Linked DNA regions of Saccharomyces cerevisiae S288C. Changing the gene in region 2 together with the main gene of any one other region gives a genetic interaction. Each region holds a gene or a part of one and is shown on either strand. Other genes may lie near its edges.

The links. Genes that interact genetically often act in the same process or in processes that back each other up.
Region 1: mutations in RIC1 (region 2) and SMI1 are lethal when combined (synthetic lethality), as found in Saccharomyces cerevisiae (5 studies listed by BioGRID, with this or other methods).

Annotation. Positions count from the first base shown.
Region 1 is NC_001139.9:949,300-957,260, reverse strand, and holds SMI1 (Smi1p), read left to right. Parts: upstream 1-6,361; coding exon 6,362-7,879; downstream 7,880-7,961. Other genes in the region: PHO81 (Pho81p), read left to right, coding at 1-2,587; NAS6 (Nas6p), read right to left, coding at 2,615-3,301; prohibitin subunit PHB2, read left to right, coding at 3,781-4,713; BNS1 (Bns1p), read right to left, coding at 4,954-5,367. UniProt on the Saccharomyces cerevisiae protein: Protein involved in the regulation of cell wall assembly and 1,3-beta-glucan synthesis, possibly through the transcriptional regulation of cell wall glucan and chitin synthesis.
Region 2 is NC_001144.5:226,889-238,249, reverse strand, and holds the start of RIC1 (Ric1p), read left to right. Parts: upstream 1-9,653; coding exon 9,654-11,361. Other genes in the region: YLR046C (uncharacterized protein), read left to right, coding at 1-249; STU2 (Stu2p), read left to right, coding at 547-3,213; PDC1 (indolepyruvate decarboxylase 1), read left to right, coding at 4,169-5,860; thioredoxin TRX1, read left to right, coding at 6,237-6,548; NFG1 (Nfg1p), read left to right, coding at 7,799-8,284; AFB1 (Afb1p), read left to right, coding at 8,668-9,342.

The DNA.
Region 1 (7,961 bases), on a different chromosome or scaffold from region 2:
TCTGCTACAAAATTCCTCAGAATCTTTTCATAAAAATGTCTTTTCTTTGTTGAAGGAGTGCTTAACGACGCTGTTTTTATTACTGGTGGCTAGTCCTTTGGACGATAACTCTCTGCATATTTTCTATAAAAGCAATCAGGATCATATTGATCTGTCATATTGTGACGAAGATGATCAAGTATTTTCACGAAAAAACGTATTTCACGAGGCTGCAAGTTGTCCAGAAAAATCACGCTTATTTATTCTAGATGAGGCTTTAACAACATCAAAGTTATCTAAAGAAACAGTACAAAAACTACTGAATGCCCAAGATATACATTCGCGGGTGCCGCTACATTATGCTGCAGAGCTAGGAAAACTGGAATTTGTTCACTCGTTGCTAATCACCAATCTTTTAGAGGACGTTGATCCCATTGATAGTGATTCTAAGACACCCTTGGTTTTGGCTATCACTAACAACCACATAGATGTTGTTAGGGATCTGCTGACTATTGGTGGTGCGAACGCATCACCCATTGAAAAGCCAATTCTGGATTATAGTAAGAATGTAATCAGCTCTACTAAAGTCCAGTTCGATCCTTTAAATGTTGCTTGTAAATTTAATAATCATGACGCCGCCAAGTTACTTTTAGAAATTCGGAGTAAGCAAAATGCTGATAATGCCAAGAACAAAAGTTCACAACACTTGTGTCAACCGCTTTTCAAAAAGAACTCAACAGGTTTATGCACTCTTCATATAGTGGCAAAAATTGGCGGCGATCCACAATTAATTCAACTATTGATACGTTATGGGGCGGATCCCAACGAAATTGATGGGTTTAATAAATGGACGCCCATTTTTTACGCTGTTCGTTCAGGTCATTCTGAAGTTATTACTGAACTATTGAAACATAATGCACGTCTGGATATTGAAGATGACAACGGCCATTCGCCACTTTTTTACGCCTTATGGGAGAGCCACGTTGATGTTTTGAATGCACTTTTACAAAGACCATTAAATTTGCCATCTGCACCCCTGAATGAAATAAATTCGCAGTCTAGTACGCAACGCCTTAATACAATAGATTTAACCCCAAATGATGACAAATTTGATTTAGACATTCAAGATAGCATTCCGGATTTTGCTTTACCACCGCCAATCATTCCACTAAGGAAATATGGTCATAATTTTTTGGAGAAAAAAATTTTCATCAAATTAAAGTTGAGGCCAGGTCTCGAGTCTATCAAGTTGACTCAGGATAACGGCATTATTATGTCATCATCACCAGGCAGAATTACTTTATCCTCAAACTTACCTGAAATAATACCGCGAAATGTTATTTTACCTGTTAGATCTGGCGAAATTAATAACTTTTGTAAGGATATCAGTGAAACAAATGATGAAGAAGATGATGATGAAATTAGTGAAGATCATGATGATGGAGAGATAATTTTCCAAGTAGATTCAATCGACGATTTTTCAATGGATTTCGAGATATTTCCTTCATTTGGCACAAGGATAATTGCCAAAACAACGGCAATGCCATTCCTTTTCAAGAAGGTGGCAATAAATAGTATTGCAACCATGAATTTACCCTTATTCGACACAAGACTAAATAATATTGGATCTCTCACTTTGGATTACCAAATTATTTTTCCTTATCCGGGAAATCCACTGAAAATCATAAATTATGAGCCGTATTGGAAATCTACAGGAAGTGATTTAATGACCTCTAGTAAAGACGGTAATTTTGTTACTTCTTCATCGTTGAATGGCAGTTTTATTAGTGTATTAGTTTGCGCTCTGAATGATGAAACCATAGTGGCTGCGCCAAAACCATACGTTGAATTCAAAGGCACGAAGATTCTGTTAAATGATTTAACGAAAGAACAATTGGAAAAGGTAGTGGATTATGACTTCGGTAAAATTGATGGAAGCTTCGATGAAGTAACATTGAAACAATACTTATCTTCGAGAGTGGTGCCTCTCAGAAGCCTACTAGAAGTTATTCCCGGGTCAGCCCAGCTGGTAATTCGTGTATATTTTCCTACAGATAAGGAAATTGACACAATTCCCATCAAAATATCGCCATTTATAAATATCAATCAATTCATTGATAAGCTTTTACTAATCATTTTCGAGCATGAACGTTTTTTGCGTCACAGCGGAAGTGGGAGTATGCGCCAAATAGTTTTCAGTTCATGCAATTGGGAAGCTTGCTCGATCCTTAACTGGAAACAACCCAATTTTCCGGTTTTGTTGCAAATGAAAAATCTACTCAGAGATTCAACCACAGGCAAATTTGTAGGTGATACTCCTAATTGTTTAAAGGAACTGGCCGTAAATCCTCAAAAAATGTCGTATTTAAACACGGAACTAATAAACATACATACAATGGTTCAATTTGCTATGAACAATAATTTGTTAGGTGTAACGCTTCCATATGAAGTACTGAAGATATGCCCGTCGTTGGCTAGGATCATCAAACAAAACGGACTACTGTTGATTGCATCGGTCGGGGAAAATGACCAAATACCAGCTGATGGAGGTTACAGCGGGATCTACTACGCTTGTGAGTTGCTTTTTGAGAATAATATTGATATGTAAAGTTCTGTAATATGTAGTTTTGAAATCTTATACATTATTTAGGAAAAACTTTTTAACCTGTTCATTAAGGGCAACATCTTCTGCCTTAGCGCCTTTATTATCTACAAGATCATATTCTGCACCATACTTTTCCACCAACAATACAGCTGCGTCACCGTGCCCTTCAGCCAAAGCATGAAATAGTGGGGTCCAACCCTGCTTATCCTGCCAATTTACAGCGCTTTTGCCCAAACCGCATAATAGTTCAATTAATTTCAAAGAACCCACCGACGCAGCTCTATGCAATGGAATTTGATTAAATTTATCTTTAATTCTTACGGACGCACCATTTTCAATTAAAAATTGGGATACTTCAAACCATTTCTTACCAACTGCCAAGTGCAAGCATGTAACTCCTTGATTGGTTATCTTATTTAGATCAGGCTTTAGAGGTCTGTCGTAAAGAGACTTTACCACCTCCAAATTCCCCACTGAACAAGCAATATGGAAAGGTGTCCATCCAGAATCATCTGGATAATCATCTAAGTTAACATTTTCCATTTTAGAAAGCAAAAAACTGGTAATTTCATGTGCTTGGAAAGAAACTGACCAGTGTAAAGGGATTCTGCCATCCTGGTCCTTCTGTAGCAACAAGGAAGGTTTGGAGTGTAGCAGCTCTTGTACCTTGAAAAACTCATTTTCCATGCAGGCTTGATGCAAAGGATAATTAGACATGGTTATACAGTTTTAAGGGCATGCATTTATGTAGCATTTATTATCACAGCTTCAGCTGATCGTTCTTTAAAGAACCCTTTTATGAAGGGCCCTTCGATCATACTTGACAGCCGGGTAAGAGAGATATTCTTTGTATAGAAATGAAATCAGATTACATAAAGCAGTGTGCAATTTGAGTGGCCCCATTTAAATACTTTCTACTTCCTCTATTGCTATGAGTAATACTGCGATGTGGCCGTATCCGTTTAGTCGATATTTTAATAGCTTGCATGTAATTGTGTTGCATAATCACTATCAACGACATAGAGTGGCAAACTTTTCTTGTATCGCTCATTTTGGCATCTAAGGGAAATAATAGCAAAAAAGGGCAATTCATAAACCATAAAGGACATCAGAAGAGTTTTACAGGGGAGGTTGTATTTTAGTAGCTCACGAAATAAAAGCAAGCGGCTGCTAGAAAAGAATATAATTTAGTGCTGATGAATAGATCACCTGGTGAGTTCCAAAGGTACGCAAAGGCGTTCCAAAAACAATTGTCCAAGGTACAGCAAACCGGAGGCAGAGGTCAAGTGCCTTCACCAAGGGGGGCATTTGCAGGCTTGGGAGGTTTGCTTTTACTCGGAGGTGGTGCACTGTTCATTAATAATGCACTGTTCAATGTAGATGGTGGTCATAGAGCCATTGTTTATTCCAGAATACATGGTGTTTCCTCTAGGATATTTAATGAAGGTACTCACTTCATTTTCCCTTGGCTTGACACACCAATTATTTATGATGTGAGAGCAAAACCTCGTAATGTTGCTTCTTTAACAGGTACCAAAGACTTACAAATGGTGAATATCACCTGTAGAGTACTTTCAAGACCGGATGTGGTGCAATTGCCCACCATATACAGAACCTTAGGTCAGGATTACGATGAAAGAGTGTTGCCTTCCATTGTTAATGAAGTTTTAAAGGCTGTAGTGGCCCAATTTAATGCGTCACAATTAATCACTCAAAGAGAAAAAGTTTCCAGGTTGATTCGCGAGAATTTGGTTCGTCGTGCAAGCAAATTCAATATCCTACTGGATGATGTTTCTATTACGTACATGACTTTTTCGCCAGAGTTTACGAACGCTGTAGAAGCAAAGCAAATTGCCCAACAAGATGCTCAAAGGGCTGCATTTGTAGTTGATAAAGCCAGACAAGAAAAACAAGGTATGGTAGTGAGGGCACAAGGTGAAGCCAAATCCGCCGAACTGATTGGTGAAGCCATCAAGAAATCAAGAGACTACGTGGAATTGAAAAGATTAGATACAGCCAGGGACATTGCAAAGATCTTGGCTAGCTCTCCAAATAGAGTCATCTTGGATAATGAAGCATTGTTGCTAAATACCGTAGTGGATGCAAGAATCGATGGAAGGGGCAAATAAATAGCGAAGGCTAGATATTATCTTTAAGAATTGAGTAACAATGTTAAGATGCCATATACTTGTGAATACAAAATAAAGGGAAAGAAAGCGATGCGTAAAACATAAATATTTGTATGTCTTCTAGAATAAGAATAAGGAGTATTACCCCGTATCATCTTGTATTGTTGGAGAACGTATATAGTATAATATGTAACACATACAGCAAAAAAATAGGCCAATTTATGATCATCATCCGTTAAATTAAATGTCTACATTCGGCTTGCGTGGTATATTCTGTTTGCCCCGCACAAACTCCAGTGTTTTGGGTTGCGATTTGGCTGAGAAAAGTTTTGACTTGTGATCATTCAGTTTTCTAGAGCATGGTGAAAGCAAATTGTCTGACGGCGACGCAAATTTTTGCCTAAGTTGCGTGTTCAAGTTTTTCCTTTGATCTTCCACTGCTTTTCTTTTCCGATACGTATTCTTGAATACTTGTCGATGAAGGCAATGCTTTGCAAATGTCTTCGTGTTATGCGCAACTTTAAGACTCATTTTCAAGTGTTGATTAAAAGAATCTAGATTTTCATCCCTCCTGGTGCAAGACACAGACGTATTTTGGATTTTTCTAATCAATTTTGTCACTATATCTTGGGATGCCGATCCGCCGTATGACATCGCAAATCTGTTACTTTTTTTTAGCGCAATGATGTAGTAGCCTCTGATTAACTTTTTTTAAAAAAAAATCACAGATAAGTAGAGGAAGAAGAATTTGCTGCTTATTGGGAACTTTCAATAGAAACCTTTTGTAGAGGATTTCGTTATTTGTTCAAGAGAATAAAAAGGTATACATTTGAAATCCTAGCATTAACTTCAGATACCTTCCACCTTACTAATCGCAGGCCTTTATGACAACGGAGGAGAGTTAGAACGAAGCAGAGAGGCTCCAATCTACATGGGAACATCGCAAAAGATGCGTACTCCGCACTGATCCATTTACCTGCAGGGCTTAACATGCATTGCACCACCGTTTGTACATCATAAGTTAATTACATTCCTTTTTAGGATAGTCTACTATTTATTTTTTCCCGTATCTGGAAAACCCCCTTAGATCCTTGTCACATAATCATAAAAATAAAGGCACCAAGCCCTAAAGCACGTGACATATGTCATTACCCTAGATTACATATAGGGCTTCCAAAGCCCTATTGGAGGTCGAAAAAAAGAAAAAAGAAAATAAAAAAGCGAAAAAAAGAAATGCATAATTCGCAGATTGTTTTTTTTTTCTTTTTCTAATGTCAGTTTTCCTACTTCGAGATCAAAAGAATGTTTTTGCACCGCAACTGAAAAGGTTGTGTTTTCTTTCCAGAGTAAATTACATTTTAATCAATTCTTTGCGCTGCTACGCAATCTTCAAACGCAAGTCCATTCTTAGAAATTTTAGCTTCTCTCAATATTGAAATATTTGCAAATACGCCATTCAAGAATCAAGCCTGTTGAAAATAAAGGTACAAAATTAAATCCGCTAATTATTTTTTTTCGTGTTCGACTAAAGTTATCGAAAAATTGAAAATATACAAGGACTAGCTATACTATCAATACGCAAAGAAAATACAAAATAAACGCACATTCGTTCTATAGGCGACAACTTGGCAGAATTTTTTAGTATAAAATGGATCTATTCAAAAGAAAAGTTAAAGAATGGGTATACTCCCTCAGCACTGACGACCATTATGCAGAGTATAACCCCGATGAAACGCCTACTTTTAACATGGGTAAACGTTTAAACAGCAACAATGGTCAGGTAAATCCCTCTCAAATGCATTTGAATAGTGTAGATGAGGAAATGAGCATGGGATTTCAAAATGGCGTGCCATCTAATGAAGACATAAATATTGATGAATTTACGTCCACGGAGTCAAACGATGGTGTCTCTGAAACCCTCTTAGCTTGGAGACACATCGATTTTTGGACCAGTGAACATAATCCAGATTTAAATGCAACTTTGAGTGATCCTTGCACCCAAAACGATATCACTCACGCAGAGGAAGACTTGGAAGTTAGCTTTCCCAACCCAGTAAAAGCGTCTTTCAAAATTCATGATGGCCAAGAAGATTTAGAATCGATGACCGGTACTTCTGGCTTGTTTTATGGCTTCCAACTAATGACACTAGATCAGGTTGTAGCTATGACTCAGGCCTGGAGAAACGTCGCAAAGAACCTAAACAAAAGATCTCAACAAGGTTTATCCCATGTTACATCTACTGGCTCTTCTTCATCTATGGAAAGACTAAATGGTAACAAGTTCAAACTGCCAAATATCCCAGATCAAAAATCTATTCCTCCAAATGCAGTGCAACCGGTATATGCACATCCTGCTTGGATTCCTTTAATAACGGACAATGCCGGTAACCATATCGGTGTTGACTTGGCGCCTGGTCCAAATGGTAAATATGCTCAAATTATAACATTTGGGAGGGACTTCGATACGAAATTTGTCATTGCTGAAAATTGGGGTGAATTTCTGTTATCGTTTGCCAACGATTTGGAAGCTGGTAATTGGTATTTAGTAGATGACAATGACGACTACTTTAGCGGTGATGGTGAATTGGTCTTCAGGGATAAGAAATCTAATGGTCCTATACAAGATTATTTCGAAGTTTTAAAAAGAAGAACGTGGATCAAGTATCAAGAAAACTTGAGATCACAACAGCAAAAATCTCAACCTGACACATCCTTGCAGGAGCAGAAATACGTGCCTGCCTCGCAAAAGAAAGTGGCAGCTGAACAGCCTTCTACCCTCAACGCAGAATCCATAAAGGGCGAAGATAGTGGTAGTGCAGATGTACAATCTGTTCAAGATCACGAATCTGTCAAAATTGTGAAAACAGAACCTAGCGAAGCGGAGACTACAACTGTAAATACAGAAAGCCTTGGACAAGCAGAGCATGAAATCAAAGCTGATAATGTAGACATTAAACAAGAAAGCGAGAGGAAAGAAGACGAAAAGCAACCAAAGGTTGAAGAAAAAGAACACGTTGAAAACGAACATGTCACAGAATCAGCAAAAAAAGACGATGATGTAAATAAGCAAACAGAAGAAATGAACAAAAAGGAAGAAAATGAAATAAGAAGTGATGATGCTAAAGTGGAAGAAGCGAGAGAAGAATTTGAAAATATAGCTTTATGAAATATCACAATTAACATTCTACAACCAAAAAGAAATTTGGACAATATTTATTTCTATTAAACTGTTCTAGGTAGGTTTCAAC
Region 2 (11,361 bases):
CTTTTAGCTGGGATATTGCTGGTTAATGGTAGAACCATTGTCAGAGTAGTACAATTTCTAATGGGCTTACAAAGCTATATAGGTCAGCACGAATGGTGCCTTTACGTTTTCGATACAGTTCTAATGTTTTTACTACCTTTGATTTTCCTAGCAACCTTTCGCGCAAGAAATTTGTTCAAGCTGCAGGATAAATCTGTCAATATTCAATTAAACAAATTATTAGACAAGGAATCTGTGTCTGAAGATTAAGTAGTCAAAAATTTATTAATTAAATAGTTGGATAATATTTGTGCTGGGCATTAGAAGTCAATCTTGTCTTTTCCTTTATATGGTGCAAAGATTATCATGGTTAACGAATCTATTTTTTTTCGTGTCGTTTTTGTTTTTGTTTTTGTTTTTGTTTTGTCTGCTTGACACTCCATAGGAAGAGTAAATGAAGAACCTACCAGACCTAGGGACCAAATAGCATTACTAAACTACAAAGAAACAGCTATCTTTACAGTGTAAAGTATTTTTGAGTTTTTATTAAAGAGTTTGAAGTTGACTATGTCAGGAGAAGAAGAAGTAGATTATACAACGTTACCCCTAGAAGAGCGATTAACGTACAAGTTATGGAAGGCACGTTTAGAAGCTTATAAGGAGTTAAACCAGCTTTTTAGAAACTCCGTTGGCGACATCAGTAGGGATGACAACATACAAATTTACTGGAGGGATCCTACATTATTTGCACAATATATAACTGATTCTAATGTGGTCGCTCAAGAACAAGCCATTGTTGCCTTGAATAGTTTAATAGATGCCTTTGCGTCATCGTCTTTGAAAAATGCACATAATATTACTTTAATATCAACATGGACACCATTGCTTGTGGAAAAGGGCTTAACGTCCTCAAGGGCTACAACGAAGACGCAGTCGATGAGCTGTATACTCTCACTATGTGGTCTTGATACATCTATTACGCAATCGGTGGAATTGGTAATACCCTTTTTCGAGAAAAAACTGCCAAAATTAATTGCTGCGGCAGCCAATTGTGTTTATGAGTTGATGGCTGCATTCGGGCTCACTAATGTGAACGTTCAAACGTTTCTACCAGAATTATTAAAGCACGTACCTCAACTAGCCGGTCATGGTGATAGAAACGTTCGATCACAAACGATGAATTTGATTGTCGAGATCTATAAGGTTACGGGCAACAATAGCGACTTGTTAGAGGAGATACTGTTTAAAAAATTAAAACCAATTCAAGTGAAAGATCTTCATAAATTGTTTGCAAAAGTTGGTGACGAGCCATCGTCATCGAAAATGTTATTCGAGTGGGAGAAAAGAGAATTGGAAAAGAAAAGAAGCCAAGAGGAGGAAGCCAGGAAAAGAAAGTCCATATTATCGAATGATGAGGGGGAATATCAGATAGATAAGGATGGAGATACATTGATGGGGATGGAAACGGATATGCCACCATCAAAACAGCAAAGTGGAGTTCAAATAGACACCTTCAGTATGCTACCGGAGGAGACGATCCTCGATAAACTGCCTAAGGACTTCCAGGAAAGGATAACGTCGTCCAAATGGAAAGATAGAGTGGAAGCGCTGGAAGAATTTTGGGATAGTGTTCTATCGCAGACTAAGAAGTTAAAAAGCACCTCGCAAAATTATTCCAACTTATTGGGGATATATGGCCATATTATCCAGAAAGATGCAAACATTCAAGCTGTTGCACTAGCCGCTCAATCAGTAGAATTAATCTGCGACAAACTAAAAACACCAGGCTTTTCCAAGGATTATGTTTCACTAGTCTTCACTCCCTTGTTAGACAGGACAAAGGAAAAGAAACCTTCTGTGATAGAGGCCATTAGGAAGGCATTATTAACCATCTGCAAGTATTACGATCCATTAGCCTCCAGTGGACGCAATGAAGATATGTTGAAAGATATTTTGGAGCATATGAAGCACAAGACACCTCAAATCAGAATGGAGTGTACGCAATTGTTTAATGCAAGCATGAAAGAAGAAAAAGATGGATACTCGACCCTGCAAAGATACTTGAAGGATGAAGTGGTACCAATTGTGATTCAGATCGTCAACGACACCCAACCTGCTATAAGAACTATTGGATTTGAGAGTTTCGCCATTCTAATTAAAATATTTGGCATGAATACCTTTGTGAAAACATTAGAGCACTTGGATAATTTGAAAAGGAAAAAAATTGAAGAAACGGTCAAAACTCTACCTAATTTCAGTATTGCAAGTGGTAGTACCCATAGCACTATTGAAACGAATAAACAAACTGGGCCAATGGAGAATAAATTTCTCCTGAAAAAAAGTTCTGTACTTCCCTCCAAGAGAGTGGCATCTTCACCGCTGAGAAATGATAACAAAAGTAAAGTGAACCCAATAGGGTCAGTAGCCTCCGCATCAAAACCATCAATGGTAGCTGCTAACAATAAATCGAGGGTCCTGTTGACGTCTAAGTCTTTGGCAACGCCAAAAAACGTAGTAGCTAATAGCACTGACAAGAATGAAAAGTTGATTGAAGAATACAAGTACAGACTGCAAAAACTACAAAATGATGAGATGATATGGACCAAAGAAAGACAAAGCCTATTGGAAAAGATGAATAATACAGAAAATTATAAGATCGAAATGATTAAAGAAAACGAAATGCTAAGAGAGCAACTAAAGGAAGCGCAGTCTAAATTGAACGAAAAGAACATTCAATTAAGATCCAAGGAGATTGATGTCAATAAGCTGTCTGATAGAGTACTGTCACTAGAAAACGAGCTTAGAAACATGGAGATCGAATTGGATAGAAATAAGAAAAGAAATGATACAAACTTGCAATCGATGGGTACGATTTCATCATACTCCATACCTTCTTCCACCGTGTCAAGCAACTATGGGGTAAAATCTTTATCTTCCGCTTTGCCATTTAAGGAGGAGGAAGATGTCAGAAGGAAAGAGGACGTCAACTATGAAAGAAGATCAAGCGAGTCCATCGGCGACCTGCCGCACCGCGTAAACTCTCTTAACATACGGCCGTACAGAAAAAACGGCACTGGAGTGAGCAGTGTCTCCGACGATTTGGATATCGATTTCAACGATAGTTTTGCCTCAGAAGAAAGTTATAAACGTGCCGCTGCAGTGACATCTACCCTAAAGGCCAGAATTGAAAAAATGAAGGCCAAATCAAGGCGGGAAGGGACAACCAGGACGTAAAGGGTAGCCTCCCCATAACATAAACTCAATAAAATATATAGTCTTCAACTTGAAAAAGGAACAAGCTCATGCAAAGAGGTGGTACCCGCACGCCGAAATGCATGCAAGTAACCTATTCAAAGTAATATCTCATACATGTTTCATGAGGGTAACAACATGCGACTGGGTGAGCATATGTTCCGCTGATGTGATGTGCAAGATAAACAAGCAAGGCAGAAACTAACTTCTTCTTCATGTAATAAACACACCCCGCGTTTATTTACCTATCTCTAAACTTCAACACCTTATATCATAACTAATATTTCTTGAGATAAGCACACTGCACCCATACCTTCCTTAAAAACGTAGCTTCCAGTTTTTGGTGGTTCCGGCTTCCTTCCCGATTCCGCCCGCTAAACGCATATTTTTGTTGCCTGGTGGCATTTGCAAAATGCATAACCTATGCATTTAAAAGATTATGTATGCTCTTCTGACTTTTCGTGTGATGAGGCTCGTGGAAAAAATGAATAATTTATGAATTTGAGAACAATTTTGTGTTGTTACGGTATTTTACTATGGAATAATCAATCAATTGAGGATTTTATGCAAATATCGTTTGAATATTTTTCCGACCCTTTGAGTACTTTTCTTCATAATTGCATAATATTGTCCGCTGCCCCTTTTTCTGTTAGACGGTGTCTTGATCTACTTGCTATCGTTCAACACCACCTTATTTTCTAACTATTTTTTTTTTAGCTCATTTGAATCAGCTTATGGTGATGGCACATTTTTGCATAAACCTAGCTGTCCTCGTTGAACATAGGAAAAAAAAATATATAAACAAGGCTCTTTCACTCTCCTTGCAATCAGATTTGGGTTTGTTCCCTTTATTTTCATATTTCTTGTCATATTCCTTTCTCAATTATTATTTTCTACTCATAACCTCACGCAAAATAACACAGTCAAATCAATCAAAATGTCTGAAATTACTTTGGGTAAATATTTGTTCGAAAGATTAAAGCAAGTCAACGTTAACACCGTTTTCGGTTTGCCAGGTGACTTCAACTTGTCCTTGTTGGACAAGATCTACGAAGTTGAAGGTATGAGATGGGCTGGTAACGCCAACGAATTGAACGCTGCTTACGCCGCTGATGGTTACGCTCGTATCAAGGGTATGTCTTGTATCATCACCACCTTCGGTGTCGGTGAATTGTCTGCTTTGAACGGTATTGCCGGTTCTTACGCTGAACACGTCGGTGTTTTGCACGTTGTTGGTGTCCCATCCATCTCTGCTCAAGCTAAGCAATTGTTGTTGCACCACACCTTGGGTAACGGTGACTTCACTGTTTTCCACAGAATGTCTGCCAACATTTCTGAAACCACTGCTATGATCACTGACATTGCTACCGCCCCAGCTGAAATTGACAGATGTATCAGAACCACTTACGTCACCCAAAGACCAGTCTACTTAGGTTTGCCAGCTAACTTGGTCGACTTGAACGTCCCAGCTAAGTTGTTGCAAACTCCAATTGACATGTCTTTGAAGCCAAACGATGCTGAATCCGAAAAGGAAGTCATTGACACCATCTTGGCTTTGGTCAAGGATGCTAAGAACCCAGTTATCTTGGCTGATGCTTGTTGTTCCAGACACGACGTCAAGGCTGAAACTAAGAAGTTGATTGACTTGACTCAATTCCCAGCTTTCGTCACCCCAATGGGTAAGGGTTCCATTGACGAACAACACCCAAGATACGGTGGTGTTTACGTCGGTACCTTGTCCAAGCCAGAAGTTAAGGAAGCCGTTGAATCTGCTGACTTGATTTTGTCTGTCGGTGCTTTGTTGTCTGATTTCAACACCGGTTCTTTCTCTTACTCTTACAAGACCAAGAACATTGTCGAATTCCACTCCGACCACATGAAGATCAGAAACGCCACTTTCCCAGGTGTCCAAATGAAATTCGTTTTGCAAAAGTTGTTGACCACTATTGCTGACGCCGCTAAGGGTTACAAGCCAGTTGCTGTCCCAGCTAGAACTCCAGCTAACGCTGCTGTCCCAGCTTCTACCCCATTGAAGCAAGAATGGATGTGGAACCAATTGGGTAACTTCTTGCAAGAAGGTGATGTTGTCATTGCTGAAACCGGTACCTCCGCTTTCGGTATCAACCAAACCACTTTCCCAAACAACACCTACGGTATCTCTCAAGTCTTATGGGGTTCCATTGGTTTCACCACTGGTGCTACCTTGGGTGCTGCTTTCGCTGCTGAAGAAATTGATCCAAAGAAGAGAGTTATCTTATTCATTGGTGACGGTTCTTTGCAATTGACTGTTCAAGAAATCTCCACCATGATCAGATGGGGCTTGAAGCCATACTTGTTCGTCTTGAACAACGATGGTTACACCATTGAAAAGTTGATTCACGGTCCAAAGGCTCAATACAACGAAATTCAAGGTTGGGACCACCTATCCTTGTTGCCAACTTTCGGTGCTAAGGACTATGAAACCCACAGAGTCGCTACCACCGGTGAATGGGACAAGTTGACCCAAGACAAGTCTTTCAACGACAACTCTAAGATCAGAATGATTGAAATCATGTTGCCAGTCTTCGATGCTCCACAAAACTTGGTTGAACAAGCTAAGTTGACTGCTGCTACCAACGCTAAGCAATAAGCGATTTAATCTCTAATTATTAGTTAAAGTTTTATAAGCATTTTTATGTAACGAAAAATAAATTGGTTCATATTATTACTGCACTGTCACTTACCATGGAAAGACCAGACAAGAAGTTGCCGACAGTCTGTTGAATTGGCCTGGTTAGGCTTAAGTCTGGGTCCGCTTCTTTACAAATTTGGAGAATTTCTCTTAAACGATATGTATATTCTTTTCGTTGGAAAAGATGTCTTCCAAAAAAAAAACCGATGAATTAGTGGAACCAAGGAAAAAAAAAGAGGTATCCTTGATTAAGGAACACTGTTTAAACAGTGTGGTTTCCAAAACCCTGAAACTGCATTAGTGTAATAGAAGACTAGACACCTCGATACAAATAATGGTTACTCAATTCAAAACTGCCAGCGAATTCGACTCTGCAATTGCTCAAGACAAGCTAGTTGTCGTAGATTTCTACGCCACTTGGTGCGGTCCATGTAAAATGATTGCTCCAATGATTGAAAAATTCTCTGAACAATACCCACAAGCTGATTTCTATAAATTGGATGTCGATGAATTGGGTGATGTTGCACAAAAGAATGAAGTTTCCGCTATGCCAACTTTGCTTCTATTCAAGAACGGTAAGGAAGTTGCAAAGGTTGTTGGTGCCAACCCAGCGGCTATTAAGCAAGCCATTGCTGCTAATGCTTAAACTCACCCAATGACCGATATATTGTGTTTCTATACTGTGTTTGTTATATATAGTTTACCTTTTTTAGACAAAAAAACAGAATTATATATTATCCTTATGTTTTGTTATTTACTCGGAAGCACACAATTGCCCACCACACAAAGGAGGTGGAGGAAACAATTAATTTTTCACACAAGAGGTATATATTTGGAGAAAAATGAAGAATGAGATACTTTTCTTCCGATTACTTAAGTATTACGGCTCTGAAATTTTCTCGAGCATTAGATGATTAAATCAAAATGACATAGTATTTCGCAACCTTTCAGTTGGGCTTTGTTTAAGAAGTGGAATACTTTTGCTTGAGTTGTTTAGTTTTATTTTATCCACTGTTGTCTTAACAAATATTTTCAAGACCGGTAAGCCGAAGATGAAAAATCATTATTAACTCATTTTTTGAACAAAAATATAAACAAAAGAAAGGCAACGCACAATTTTAGAGATACATAAAACGCAGTGGATGTTAAAAATAACAGCGGTACAGAAACGCCTGTCTCGCTCCAATAATAATTATACAAATTTGAAACCGAACGCAATGTGCCAAGAAATGTAAACACACTATAGAAAAAAATAGAACGGTGCACATTGTGCTAGCATATCTGCTTGGTTCTGAACAAGAAGCACCTGGCCACTTTCTCCTAGCCCAATTCTTGCCAAGTTTTCAACCTCAATCTTTTGTGTTTGAACAAGCATGTATGAGGGGTCAAAATTTAGTGGAGGCCGCTTACAATCCTTCTATTTCCTCTGGACCTCATTAGCCGTCTGGCCAGACCTAAGCGTCATAATCTGGAGAATTTCATTGCATGCGAGAATATGATAAGTAAGAACTTGTTTATTTATACAAGTTCCACCCACTCATACACGGCTACAATTATGACGTATAATAACGTTTCGTCTAGCCCACCTTTTTTACTTTTGACGTTTTATTTCTTTCGAGGATTTGGCCAAGAATGCCCCGAACAGCGGAAAAAATGGCGTCGCAGTTTCAGATGTATAGACTCATCTTGTAGAAAAAAGAATGCAAGAATGAAGTCTTTTCGTGGTGTTTTGAAAACACTATAAACAAACCGTCAACAAACATTTTGTATAAATATTTAGCTATATATTGAATATCTTGACCAGTAAAGCACCTTGAGAAATTGTAAGCTTGAAGAACGTACTTTGATATCCCTCCGTTTCATCATCCTATAGCTCGTCAACAAATCAAAAAAAATATGAAGATCAGTCAATTTGGCTCTTTAGCTTTCGCCCCAATTGTGCTACTACAACTGTTCATTGTTCAAGCGCAACTTCTCACAGATTCAAATGCTCAGGATTTGAATACTGCCCTTGGACAGAAAGTGCAATACACCTTTCTTGACACTGGAAATTCTAACGATCAACTACTTCATCTTCCAAGCACCACCTCTTCCAGCATTATTACTGGTTCATTAGCTGCTGCTAATTTCACCGGTTCTTCATCATCGTCGTCTATACCAAAAGTCACTTCCAGCGTCATAACATCTATAAATTACCAATCCTCAAATTCTACGGTAGTCACCCAGTTCACGCCATTGCCTTCTTCGTCGAGAAATGAAACAAAAAGCTCTCAAACAACTAATACTATAAGTTCAAGTACAAGCACAGGAGGTGTAGGTTCAGTCAAGCCATGTCTTTACTTCGTTTTAATGTTAGAAACAATCGCTTATTTGTTTTCTTAAACAAATATATTAGGTTCAAGGTCTTCGCAGGTGTAAGAAAACCCGTGGTCTCCATATTCTTAAGTATGATAAATAAAAAAAAACTTAATAAATTATTAATTGCTTCAAACCTTTTTCTTTTTTTAGTTTTTAATATTTCAAACGTTATCTTCATTGAACGCCCAAATAGGGAAAAATCCTGGCAAATTTTTTATTGCTGTCATCCAAGGCTATGCTAGAAAATTCAAGAGCTTGGATGATTTAAAAAGACACTCTCAATCGAGAAAGTTTATTCTTTGTTATTCTGCTTTACCTGATCATATTCCGGCGTATTGTTTCTAATCAAGTGATTTCGATATCCAGTTACGAACCATTTACAACATTCCTGAAAATATTGCGTATCAATGATATTTGCTCCTTCTTTCTCCCTCATTAAAAATATTCTCCTGGTAAGCTTTCTAATCAGCCACAGTTTTGCTGCCAAAACTTTAACGTCTAGTTCCAATGACGATACACTTGCCAGGTCCGCAGCTGCAGATGCAGACATGGCATTCTTCATGGAGTTTTTAAACGATTTCGACACCGCTTTTCCACAGTATACCTCATACATGATGCAAAACCATTTAACCCTACCTCAACCTGTTGCTGACTACTACTATCACATGGTTGATTTGGCCTCAACAGCAGATTTACAATCTGATATTGCTCAGAGTTTTCCGTTCACTCAATTCCAAACATTCATTACGGCCTTTCCATGGTATACCTCTTTGCTAAACAAAGCCTCCGCCACCACCATATACCTTCCCCAACACTTCATAACAGGTGAGACAGAAGCTACCATGACTAACTCATCTTATGCCAGCCAAAAAAACTCCGTTTCCAATTCTGTTCCTTTCTCGACAGCGAACGCAGGCCAGTCCATGATTTCCATGGCTAATGAAGAAAACAGTACAACAGCACTTATATCCGCATCAAACTCTTCTTCAACATCCAGAACTAGTCAATCACAGAATGGTGCCCATGCCAAAAGCTTATATTTCCCCATGGCGTTGTTCGGAATCTTTGCAGTTGCCCTTTAAGTGCCTCAACCAAATTTGACAATTTAATTCCATGGGAGGTCCGCCATCCCTTTTCGCTTTTTTTATAATATGTGTATTATTTATACAAATATGTATATAAGTATGTACTTTTTCAATGGACAATTCGATTTTAAGAGCGTTTTTAGTGACAACGATGAACATCAACTTTGTACAGTATCAAACGATTTATTTTTAACATATTATTATAACTTCTGAATGGCGTTGCCATCTTGGCCAAAATCTTGTCTTTTCTGTCGTTTTATGGCAGGCTTTTGTTCTTTGATGTTAATTCGGCAATACCGACGCCTTTGATGTTCATCAAACAGTCTGAAAAAAATACACCTAAATGCCTCTACAAAAAAAAAGGTAAGGTAAGAGTGTTATTGACCGGAAGCTGTAAGAAACTGAACACGTGGAAAATGCACTTATGGCCAGTCAGTCCGCCCCAATTGCTTAGAATTCCACCCCGCAACGCCGAATTAGGTGAGGGTACTAAAATAGATGATTGCAATATTCTTCAATCAATGACACTACCCCAGGCCAATGTTCTTATCATGCTAACCCCAACAAGAGTGCTCATTTACAACTTCAAACCAATGGCACTAGTAGCTAGCCATGAACGAACAATGGCTTCTCTTAAGGAATTTGGCGATAACAGATCAATGAAACGATCAGCTCCATATAATGATATCATCGAAGGGCTTATTTCAAAAAAGGACTCGCAATACTTATTGTGGCACCAGGGAAAGCTGATATTTTACGTAATGACTGATAAAAACTTCCTTTTAACATACCAAATTTTAAAAAACTGCACAAATGAAATAATTTTCAAAGAATACGGCATACCCGTCATAGAGCCTCTTTTAATGAGTGAAGAAGAAGCGAACAGTGCTGAATATGACTATAACAACGATGATGATACTCTCACGGTATTTGATAAAAATAGTTCTTCAAGAATTATACAGAATGGATTTGGCATAACTAAGGAAAAAGGGTTTTTACACTTTCTTTCTAATCAAGAAAACATTGATGAACTCCCCGTGAAAAAACTAGAACTTCGTTTAAAAGTAGTTCTTAAATTTGACTATGAAATCATAGACATGATTGGCATCAAGACATTTTCCAAAGTCGGGGATGGGCGTTATGAAGAAGTTTTGATAGTTTTATTCCCTCATGGATTACAAATACTTACAATATCGGATTTTAAAGTTAGCAAGAGCTCGTTGGTTGAAGTGAAGAAGGGATCCAAGACAATTGTGTGTAATAAACAATTAATGGTTTTATCTCATGATTCCGTCGAAAAGCAGACTATTGTAAGCATTATAGACATTGAAAAGCAAGCTGTTGAAGCAATACCGTTAACGGACACACCAGATGAACTTTTGACTTGCCTAGAAGTTAATGGATACCTGGTGGTCGTTTACAAAGAAAAAATAATCTGCTTTGATACAAGAATTAAAAAAGTAAGCCATTCTTGGAAACCACCATTTGTGATAAAACTTTGCGATAAAATTAATGATAAAATATTACTTTTGGTTTCTGAGGATAGTGTTAACATTCATTTTTACACAGAATTTGGGAATCTGCTATTCGCTACATATTTTGACGAAGATGATTATAATGGTGATAACAATAATGACAACAGCAAGGATAAAAATGAGAAAAAGGCGGCTGAATATAAAATTTCTGATTTTGTATGCTTGGATAAATCACTAATAACAGTGTCTCATTCCGGAAAATATCAAGTTTGGAAATTATGGGAAGAAATAAAACAAACACAATTTGATTTCAGAAACCCAAAATGTTACGTATTAACCAATACGAACAATGATGTAATCATATATTCACCTGTGACAAGTTCTTCAATCAATAATGATAATTTACAAGTCATAAAACTTCCTACAAAGACTTTCAATAATCATATTGCTTTTGTAAAAATTAATTCTTCCTTGAGGTTATTTGCTACTTATGTGTCGAACAAAAACATACTGCTTATCCACAATCTAGAGACCAATATGT